Linked DNA regions of Arabidopsis thaliana. The protein of the gene in region 2 interacts with the protein of the main gene of each other region in a pairwise test. Each region holds a gene or a part of one and is shown on either strand. Other genes may lie near its edges.

Evidence for each region.
Region 1: the proteins of DPB (region 2) and CYCB2;3 interact in a two-hybrid assay, tested with the Arabidopsis thaliana proteins (one large-scale study listed by BioGRID).

What each region holds. Positions count from the first base shown.
Region 1 is NC_003070.9:7,134,127-7,139,620, reverse strand, and holds CYCB2;3 (Cyclin B2;3), read left to right. Parts: upstream 1-1,792; 5' UTR 1,793-2,081; intron 2,082-2,329; 5' UTR 2,330-2,347; coding exon 2,348-2,402; intron 2,403-2,495; coding exon 2,496-2,628; intron 2,629-2,730; coding exon 2,731-2,778; intron 2,779-2,862; coding exon 2,863-2,911; intron 2,912-2,993; coding exon 2,994-3,140; intron 3,141-3,222; coding exon 3,223-3,357; intron 3,358-3,468; coding exon 3,469-3,558; intron 3,559-3,648; coding exon 3,649-3,870; intron 3,871-3,956; coding exon 3,957-4,055; intron 4,056-4,153; coding exon 4,154-4,332; intron 4,333-4,415; coding exon 4,416-4,548; 3' UTR 4,549-4,962; downstream 4,963-5,494. Other genes in the region: AT1G20600 (AP2/B3-like transcriptional factor family protein), read right to left, coding at 5,384-5,455.
Region 2 is NC_003076.8:840,573-845,981, forward strand, and holds DPB (Transcription factor DP), read left to right. Parts: upstream 1-1,915; 5' UTR 1,916-2,143; intron 2,144-2,237; 5' UTR 2,238-2,269; coding exon 2,270-2,520; intron 2,521-2,895; coding exon 2,896-2,975; intron 2,976-3,113; coding exon 3,114-3,157; intron 3,158-3,378; coding exon 3,379-3,441; intron 3,442-3,534; coding exon 3,535-3,681; intron 3,682-3,763; coding exon 3,764-3,832; intron 3,833-3,931; coding exon 3,932-4,030; intron 4,031-4,130; coding exon 4,131-4,201; intron 4,202-4,294; coding exon 4,295-4,628; 3' UTR 4,629-4,882; downstream 4,883-5,409. Other genes in the region: AT5G03406 (Class II aaRS and biotin synthetases superfamily protein), read left to right, coding at 22-110, 250-379, 499-591, 774-872; AT5G03420 (5'-AMP-activated protein kinase-like protein), read left to right, coding at 5,069-5,229, 5,352-5,409. UniProt on the Arabidopsis thaliana protein: Involved in the regulation of the G1/S transition. Increases the DNA binding activity of E2F proteins after heterodimerization.

The DNA of each region.
Region 1 (5,494 bases), on a different chromosome or scaffold from region 2:
CCACCAAGCCTAATATATCTATTATCTAAGATACTAATGGGCTCTAGTCTGGTGGGTAAGTTTTGGGCCAACCTGTAATGGAAAAAAAAACAGTTGTATTCATTAAACGGATATTAATTACAAGAGACTGAGAACTTATGCAACCTAAAAGATATACATGTCAATTTAAATGCCAATAACAAAAATCTGAAACAAGAACTTATAGAATGATCTCAAACTTAACCTAATGGCATATCATATTTATTTAATGTATCTATATCAATGGAAACAAAATGCTATTGTTGTGTTTCTACATAGAAACGCAATGTTCACACTTCTACACAAATGACTTGATTGATTTAAAAGTGATTGATAGTAAATGCAGTATATCAATGCCATTATCATGTAAACAACTCTATATATCTTTTTCCCATAAAAATATAGTACGATATTCTAATGATACACTTGAAGAAGGTCTAAACTTTGTGTGAGATTTCTTACTCGAAAAAGAAAATCATTTAACTTGAGATTAATATAAATGTATTTGATTTCTTAAACGAGTCTTGGTTTTTGGTCAAAGGTGATGTATTTGATTTTTTAAATAATAGTATTTTATTTGTTATTATAGAAATGTATATTATATAGTGTAATTTTCGAAAATAAAATAAAAATAGTTGTCTTTCCCAAAATAAAAAAGGGAAGGGTATTATCATTCTTACTCGGAAGAATCGAAAATTAAGTCCATTTTTTTCTACTGTTTATCTTACACTATTTTTGTGGCAAATACAATAATACCTCTATATTATATAACTATTCTTATTGCCATACCACTGTACCTGTGAAGATTACGACAATGATAGTTTTTGTTCAGATTCAGTTCAAATTGGTTAACAATCAAATTACCGAGTTAACTAATACTTTATCTAGAGGTAGTGACAATAATAATCTTATTGGATGAAATTCATATTTTGCACGTTATAGTAACTCGTTAATTTTTTTATATGATATAATAAATGAGTTAAGACGGTAAATATAAATATATCACATAAGTTATAACTTATTGCGATTCAAAATGACTTAGCATGACATAATTATAAATTTATTGATATAAATATTTTGTTATCATGTTAACCTAATAAATATTACCGAGATATTTGTTATTGAAAACAAAAAAAACCCAAAGAATTTGAATAAGTACACATACACATGGATGAAAAACAATGATAGCCGTTGAACATAAGGCAACTTTCGATTTGGAACACGTGGCATTAATCCAACAGCTGATATGAACTAGGCAACTAGCTGTTAATTTTAAAGATATTATACAGACAATATATCCGCTCTTCTAGTCTTCAAAATCTCTATTATTCTTTATTTTTTCTTTTTTTCTTTGCCCTTGTAGTATAATATTCTAATGATACACTTGAAGAAAATCTAAACTTTGTGTGAGATTTCTTGCTTGAAAAAGAAAATCATTTAACTTGAGATTAATATAAACGAATCTTGGTCTTTGGTCAAAGGAGACATATTTGATTCTTTTAAATAGAAGTGTTTTATTTGTTTTTATAGAAATGAATATTATTTCATGGTGTAATTTTCAAAAATAAAATAAAAATAGTTGTCTTCCCCAAAATAGAATAAAAGAAAAAAAAATCAAAGAATTTGAATAAATCTATACATAGATGATATACAATTATAACCGTTGAATAGAAGACAACTTTCGATCTGGAACACGTGGCGTTGATCCAACGGCTGAGATGAACTAGCCGTTAATTTTAAAGAAAACTAATACACTATAGACGCTCTTCTAATCTTCAAAATCAATCTTACTCTTTTTTTTTTCTTTTTTTCTTTACCCTTATAAAGAGAGATAGAGAGAGAGTGGGAAGTATCTTCAAAACCGAAGCCATTAGAGAGAAAGAGAGCGTGGTTGAATCTTTGGGTTTTACTAAAAGATCTCTCTTTCTCTCCTTTGTTTGATCAACTTGGATCCAACGGGATAAAAGACTATTAGGGTTTAGGAGATTCACTGGGTTTCATAAGAATTTATGATCAAGGGTCGACTTAATCTCGCGTTGGTTCTTTGAATTGACTGTGAAAAGGTGATTTTTTTGAAAAACCAATTCGTGGGTTTTCGTTATCTTCTGGGTATTTGAGATTTAGGTCTTTGTTGTTCTTGATTGGGTCTTTCATTGAGATTATTAAACCGGATCTATAGGGTTTTGATTGTCAAGACTGTTTTTTTAGTTTCAATTTTGAAAACCCCTGCTTTTAAGTTGGGGGATGTTTCGATTTTGAAATTTGATTTCTTCAAGAGAAGAGATTTAATGAAAATAAATAACTTCCGCAGATAACGAAGAAGAAGAAAATGGTTAGATCAGATGAAAATAGCCTTGGATTAATCGGATCAATGAGTCTCCAAGGTACCCTAAATCGATCGATTTTGTTATTAAAAATCAAAACTTTCGTTCTCTTTGATTTTTCCCCCAAATTGATTTTGAATTTACTTGATGTAGGGGGAGGAGTAGTAGGAAAGATCAAGACGACGGCAACAACAGGACCGACAAGAAGAGCACTAAGTACTATTAACAAGAACATCACTGAAGCGCCGTCTTACCCTTATGCTGTCAACAAGAGATCAGTTTCTGAGTAAGTTCACTTTAATCCTCAGATTCAAGATTAGTGTTTTTTTTTTCTTCTCCCTTTGATTAGACTCTTATAGGAACCCTATTTCTTTCTGTGACTTTGCAGAAGAGATGGCATTTGTAATAAACCACCTGTGCATCGACCAGTTACTAGGTAAGCATAGATCTTTACTCTTGTCTACTTTGAGTATCTCACATTGTCTGATTACTTAACTTTTACTACTCTCTGTTGGTTCAGGAAGTTTGCTGCTCAGTTAGCAGATCATAAGCCACATATCCGTGATGAGGTACCCTATTGTTCAATGTATGTTTCATTTAGAGCAATGATGATATAGACCGGATTTTAAAGTTCTGATCTTTAACTCTTAGGAAACTAAGAAACCAGACTCAGTTTCAAGTGAAGAACCAGAGACGATTATCATTGATGTGGATGAAAGTGATAAAGAAGGAGGTGACTCTAATGAGCCAATGTTTGTACAACATACTGAAGCAATGCTGGAGGAGATTGAACAGATGGTATACATATTTCCTAACCATTCTTTGCTTTGTTTATGGAAGTGTTAATATAGTTACTCATATTGTTTGTGTCTTTCAAAAGGAGAAGGAGATTGAAATGGAAGATGCAGACAAAGAAGAAGAGCCTGTGATCGATATTGATGCCTGTGATAAGAATAATCCTTTGGCTGCGGTTGAATATATCCATGATATGCATACCTTCTACAAGAATTTTGAGGTGAATTTGTCTTGTTTCACATCAACTTTTGCTTTTGTGTTCTTTATCATCGAAAGGATTGTAGTTTCAAAATCTTGTACTTATGTTTGATTCATTCTTATGATTCTGCAGAAACTTAGTTGCGTGCCTCCTAACTATATGGACAATCAACAAGATCTTAATGAGAGAATGAGAGGAATCCTCATTGACTGGTTAATTGAGGTAGACAGATCTAGACAAAAGCTATTTAATGCCACTTTTTTTGTCTCAATGTGCCTGAAGATAAATTGACTGGAAAATTATCTTGTCCAGGTGCACTACAAGTTTGAACTGATGGAGGAAACTCTTTATCTCACAATCAATGTCATCGACAGATTCCTTGCGGTTCATCAAATCGTGAGGAAAAAGCTTCAGCTTGTTGGTGTTACTGCTTTGTTGCTTGCATGTAAATATGAAGAAGTTTCAGTTCCAGTGGTAGATGATCTCATCTTGATCTCTGACAAAGCTTACTCTAGAAGAGAAGTGCTAGATATGGTGAATACACAACTTTGTCTTGATCATTAACTACCACTGGTTGATGCTTCATAGTTGAATTTACCTGTTTTTGGTTTCTATTGCAGGAGAAGCTAATGGCCAACACCTTGCAATTCAATTTCTCTCTACCAACTCCATATGTTTTCATGAAACGATTTCTCAAAGCTGCCCAATCTGACAAGAAGGTATATATCTCCCTAACTAAAAAAGCTTGAATCATTATATCCGGAAACCATCAGGCCTAATATCTAAATCGGTGTGGTATATGCAATTGTGGTTTCAGCTTGAGATTTTATCATTCTTTATGATCGAGCTTTGCCTTGTGGAGTATGAGATGCTAGAGTATCTTCCATCTAAGCTGGCGGCCTCAGCAATCTACACTGCTCAGTGTACACTTAAGGGATTTGAAGAATGGAGCAAAACCTGTGAGTTTCACACAGGCTACAACGAAAAACAGCTACTGTAAGAACATACATTGATTTTTTTGAAAACCCCATGACATGAGATTTTGGTATCCTGACAGTGGGTTTTTGTGTTTTTTCTAGGGCATGTGCGAGAAAGATGGTTGCTTTCCATCACAAGGCAGGAACAGGGAAGCTCACAGGAGTTCACAGAAAGTACAACACATCTAAGTTCTGTCATGCTGCAAGAACTGAACCAGCTGGGTTTCTGATTTAATATTAATAAGAATCTAATATGACTTAACTCGAGTTTTTCTTTAGAACAAAAAGAGTGTGAGAGAAAGAGAGATAGTAGAGCAAGTTGCCCAAAATGGGAGAAGAATGGATCTTTAGATATCATGGCAAGTAGCCCAAAAAGAGTGTATTCTTCTCTTTCTAAGGTCTTTAGATCTTTCTTCACTTGAGAGAGAATAAAAAGAATCTTCTGATATCATGCTTTCCTATATTCAACTTGTGAATCGATTCTTGTATAGACTCAGGAAAATCTATGATCCAGTTTGGTTAATATTACTCGGGAGCTGAACCTCTAGACTGAATCAAATATTCTTCTACATGTCGTTTTGGTACTCTGGAACTGAATCTCTAGACCCTATCAAATATTCTACAAGTACATGGCAATTTTTTGGATTGTAATTTGGGAAAATTGCAGTTGACAAGGTTTTTACATGATGAAAATACAAGTACAATATTCTTTTATAGCTTATATATTAATGTTATAAATGACCATATAGACTACGTTATTTAGACAACTCAAAGTCTACAGTATTGCAGTCTTTATTGAAGGAGGATATAATCATTACTTCTAGTATTTCATAATCTTGTTCCTTCAATTTATCTTTGTTTTCTGATCTTAGTCTTATTAAGACCTTTATGAAAACAATGTACTTTGTTTTACTCATCTACTGTCAGAAATGGAGAATGCGCAAAGAAGAAAATAGATCACAACGAAAACTTGTCAATGATTCAAACATCTTGGTAACCCAAAATACAGAACTAGTAGTGCATCTGGACATATCTCTCTTGTTCTCCTTTGTTTGGTTTTACAGTGTTCTCTAAGAAGTGTTGCAGCACCTGACTTTGCTGCCTCGAATGAAGACATGCTCAAGCTGTGATACCTTACCATCCTGTAACATAGCAATGAAAAACCGAAAACAAAAGTTAAG
Region 2 (5,409 bases):
TCTTGCAACCTTGTTGTGTAGCTTTACTGCTTTGAAGATAGGGGTAATCGCCGTGTAGCATTGAGGCCTGAGCTTACACCTTCTTTAGCGAGGCTTGTCATACAGAAAGGGTAACTAATGCAGAATTTTCTCTCAAGCCTTGAGAATTGTCCTTATTCTTCAATGAGCGGTTTATTTATTTTTGTTTGTAAAAATTCTGTATCAGGTAAGGATGTGAGAATGTTGATTCCCATATTCTTTTTGGTCCAGAAAATCTGTTTCCCTTCCATTGAAGTGGTTTGCTGTTGGGCAGTGTTGGAGATATGAGAGAATGACACGAGGAAGGCGACGTGAGCATTACCAGTGGAATATGGATATTATTGGTGTGCCTGAAGTTACAGTATGTATCTCTCATACCTTTAATCACTTTAGGCCTTCTAGTTTTTTGTTATATGAACCTGATCTGTGTTTAAAGTCTCTATAAGCCGGCTAATTTGGTTCACAAACCTTTTCTTTTAGGCTGAAGCAGAACTAATTTCATCTATAATGACATTCTTCAAGCGAATTGGAATCACTGCATCAGATGTGGGTTTTAAGGTTTCAAGCCGCAAGGTATTTTTGCTTACGTTCTCTTTTGATGTGATATGATCATTTTGTTTCTTGGTTTACACTCTAGATACAGAACCAAGTAACTCACTTGCAATGCTAAACATGAGTTGAGATTATTTTGCACGATCTGCAGCATCTGAATATCCACTGTAGCTAACATCTCCCATAACTTCTTCCTTGTACAGGTTTTACAAGAATTTTTAAAAAAGTATGGTGTACCCGAAGACCTGTTTGGAAGAGTTTGCTTCATTATAGACAAGGTTAGCAATCTAAACATCAATTAACAGCTGCTTTGTTGCCAGAATTGGGACAAGAAGTAGAGAACATCGTGTGTGCTTTGGACAAAGATCTCCAAGGAGCTGCAACCACCATTGCAACCGCTCTTAAAGACAAAGGGCAAACCGTTGATTTAGTATTGGAGAGTAAACCGCTGAAATGGGTGTTCAAGAGAGCGGCTCGGGTAAACGCAAGAAGGCCGGTTCTGGTTGGGAAGTTGGTTCGGTCAGTGTCAAGGTTTTGTCTTCAGGTGAGCAATTTCAAGTCAAACTTGATGACTTGGAGTAGTAGTATCTAAGGCTTGAACAAATTGTTCAATTGTCCTTTTTTTCAAAAGCAATTGAGTTGAGATTGGATTTTTATTTTGTCCTCAAAGGTTTCATTAAGAATTTTATTGATGGATCTTCAATACTCGTTTATTCGTCTAATAGTGATTTACAAAATATACTTTTTGACTTCGAATCAGCCACATGTGGCATGTGATTTTTATTTCAAACCGAGAAATGCTAAAAAGAAAAGAAAATGTGCCTTTCGTGAACCTTAAGCTACATTATCACATAATCTTCGGAACTAGAAAAACTCTTTTGCTCCAGTTTTAGTAATGAAAGAGGATGAACATGATATGTTTATATTTCCTAAAAGCTCAAATCTTATCAACACTAGAATGAGTAAATTTCATATAATGAAAATTCATATCGAATGTGATTGACTAGTGGTATCAACCACACATGTTTTTAACTTTTTGACTTGATCATCCATCTACATTATGATGTATCAATGTATGTTTTTTATATTTGTTTTCATGCTTATTAAAGCCATATAAACATATTTTGGTAGATAATTCCAGTATTTAGCCAACAAAAGAAGAAGACGAAGATAATTTTAGTGTTTAGCCAAAATAAAAATAAAAAGATAATTCCAGTATTATATTCTGATTAACAAAAGACCTAAATTTCACTAAAGAGAATTAATCTTTTGGTAAAATAAAAAAAAAGTAAAGAAAATTATCTTCTTTAACTTTTTGTTTTTTTTTCACCTATGAGTCAGTTTGGTCCCTCTCTCTCTCTCTCATTGTGGACATCTTTTCACCATCGCACAAATAACAAGCCTCCCAACCCCGATCGACTTATCCTCCTCCTTCTCCGGCGAAATCCATTAACTCTCCGCCGCGAAAACCACCTTTCCAGAGTAGTATCACACTAAGAATTCTAATGTTGATCCGCCATTATTGAAGCTTCTAATTCTCGTTAATAACCAAAAACCCAAGTCGATTTTCAAGGTCAGTACTCAAAATCTGGGTTTTCGTCAAAATCAGAAACTTTCCTTGACAAATTTTAACAAATCTCTTTCTCGTTTTCTATTGAATTCTCCAGTAGCGCGGTAGTTAGTTTTAGGTGGAAGAAGAATGACAACTACTGGGTCTAATTCTAATCACAACCACCATGAAAGCAATAATAACAACAATAACCCTAGTACTAGGTCTTGGGGCACGGCGGTTTCAGGTCAATCTGTGTCTACTAGCGGCAGTATGGGCTCTCCGTCGAGCCGGAGTGAGCAAACCATCACCGTTGTTACATCTACTAGCGACACTACTTTTCAACGCCTGAATAATTTGGACATTCAAGGTGATGATGCTGGTTCTCAAGGAGCTTCTGGGTATGTAAACCACCTCAATTCTGTGATTTTTATATTAAAAGGCTTTGATGTGTTTATTGTGATGTTTGGTTTAGCGATTTTTAGGGTTTTCATTCTATTGCAATGGCTGCTTTTATGAGCTTAATGAATATATGAAACTGAACCAGTAGATGTAAGTATGATGTGTGGATCATACTTTTACAAGCTTGAATTTGGCTCTCCTGATATGTATTAGTCTAAAATCTACTAATAATCTGCATATTTGAATACTCATCTTTCCTATCCTTATTGGGACAAAAGATACTGTTTAGGCCATTGTCTTTGTGCGTTAATTTTTGTGTGGAAGTTGTTACATGTGTTCTGTGTAGTTTAGTTGATCATATAATCTATTTACAGTGTTAAGAAGAAGAAGAGGGGACAGCGTGCGGCTGGTCCAGATAAGACTGGAAGAGGACTACGTCAATTTAGTATGAAAGGTCTTATCTCTTTCTCTGCCCCTATTATGCTTTCATCTAAATGCCTTTCAAGTTTCTAGCTATGAATTGTGTGGATAATGCCTCTTAAGATTGGTTATACATTTAACTGATATTATGTTCGTCTGGCCTTCCTTTCAGTTTGTGAAAAGGTGGAAAGCAAAGGAAGGACAACTTACAATGAGGTACGGTAGTTTCCTTTTTAAACAAAAAGCTTCACAGTATTTATGCTTTGCAAGATCCATTCACTTCTGTTTATGTTATATGATGATACTGATTTATTGTGCTTACCAGTGTGATTAAACACTTGTCAAGATCACATATGGGAATATCAATTTGTCTCATGATTAGTACTGCAAACGTGTAGCTCTGTAATACGGTATCTAACAGGTGATAGTACTTTCAGGTTGCAGACGAGCTTGTTGCTGAATTTGCACTTCCAAATAACGATGGAACATCCCCTGATCAGGTATGCGTTTCTTCGATAGTTTCTACCCTGGAACGTGTGCAATACTCGTTGTGAACTCTGATGAAATTATATCATGTGAAAACGTTTTACCAGCAACAGTATGATGAGAAAAACATAAGACGAAGAGTATATGATGCTTTAAACGTCCTCATGGCTATGGATATAATATCCAAGGATAAAAAAGAAATTCAATGGAGAGGTCTTCCTCGGACAAGCTTAAGCGACATTGAAGAATTAAAGGTTTCAACCACATATTCTATGTGCAGATGTTCCATAGCTTGTTTAGAGAATTTTCCTGAATTTGAATTATTTTGTTTTGCAGAACGAACGACTCTCACTTAGGAACAGAATTGAGAAGAAAACTGCATATTCCCAAGAACTGGAAGAACAAGTAATGAACATCATCGATACTCTCGGCTTATCTGCTTCCTGTTACTTTTATCATAGATTCTTACATGGTCCTTCTATCATCTCTGTGTATGTCTGAAAGTATGTAGGCCTTCAGAATCTGATACAGAGAAATGAGCACTTATATAGCTCAGGAAATGCTCCCAGTGGCGGTGTTGCTCTTCCTTTTATCCTTGTCCAGGTAAACTTCACCAACAGCTTCGTATGATCTTAGATTGATCCACAAGGAAACCTCAGAAAAATGAAAAAATCACCTGATTGTTGTTGTTTCTCTGCACCAGACTCGTCCTCACGCAACAGTAGAAGTGGAGATATCAGAAGATATGCAGCTCGTGCATTTTGATTTCAACAGGTAAAATCCAAACACCAGATTTGATCTCTTTTCAGCTAATATATCTATGGAACCGATTACTGACACTGTGACAACTGTTTTCACTATTTGCAGCACTCCATTTGAGCTCCACGACGACAATTTTGTCCTCAAGACTATGAAGTTTTGTGATCAACCGCCGCAACAACCAAACGGTCGGAACAACAGCCAGCTGGTTTGTCACAATTTCACGCCAGAAAACCCTAACAAAGGCCCCAGCACAGGTCCAACACCGCAGCTGGATATGTACGAGACTCATCTTCAATCGCAACAACATCAGCAGCATTCTCAGCTACAAATCATTCCTATGCCTGAGACTAACAACGTTACTTCCAGCGCTGATACTGCTCCAGTGAAATCCCCGTCTCTTCCAGGGATAATGAACTCCAGCATGAAGCCGGAGAATTGAAACACGTATGAAGGCCCCTTGTACAATTTCTGTAAAACTGTAAAGTAGCTCTTGAAAAACTTTACCTGGTTTTTTGACGAATAGTCTGTTTAGCGGTAAATGTACCGGTGGTTTATCGAATCTAGGATCCTTGTCGGGTTTAGCGATTTTAAGAATCTTTGCCATAGGAAAAAAAAAACACTTTGCTCTGTGGTGTAGAAATGAATTTTATTAACCATTTGGATTAGTCCATGTTCGGTTCTGTTATTCGGAAACCCGGTTATGGACTTCAATTTTGGAAATTACGAAACTGAACTAATCGATTTCCGGTTTTGTTGAACCGAAATCCGGTTAAAATATTACCATATCAATCATATCATTAGAAATGTAGTTCTGTTTCATGTAATTCGGTCTGAATGTTAATAAATGCTGGGAACATCGGAGCTTGAGAAAGTCCGGCCATGGCGACGATTTCTCAGATACCTTTCTCTATCTCCTTCCCTTGTTTCGAATTTCGGAAACCATCGTTCTACTATCATCAGCCTCAACTTTTTGTTTCGTACTTGAATTCCACGAAGAAGCATAGTTTTATCTGTTTCGCATGTTCCACCAAACAAACCAGGTTCGAAATTTCTCGTCGTTTTTTTTTTTGGTTTTTGCTTCGATCTGTGGAAAATTGGAGACAGCAGACGTACTTCAATTATTGTTTTGGTTAATTGGTCTGCTTGAATTGAATTTGAACAGAGTTCGTAAGAGAGTGAAGAGCAATGAGGAGCTTCGGAGTGAGATTATGCAGTTCGTT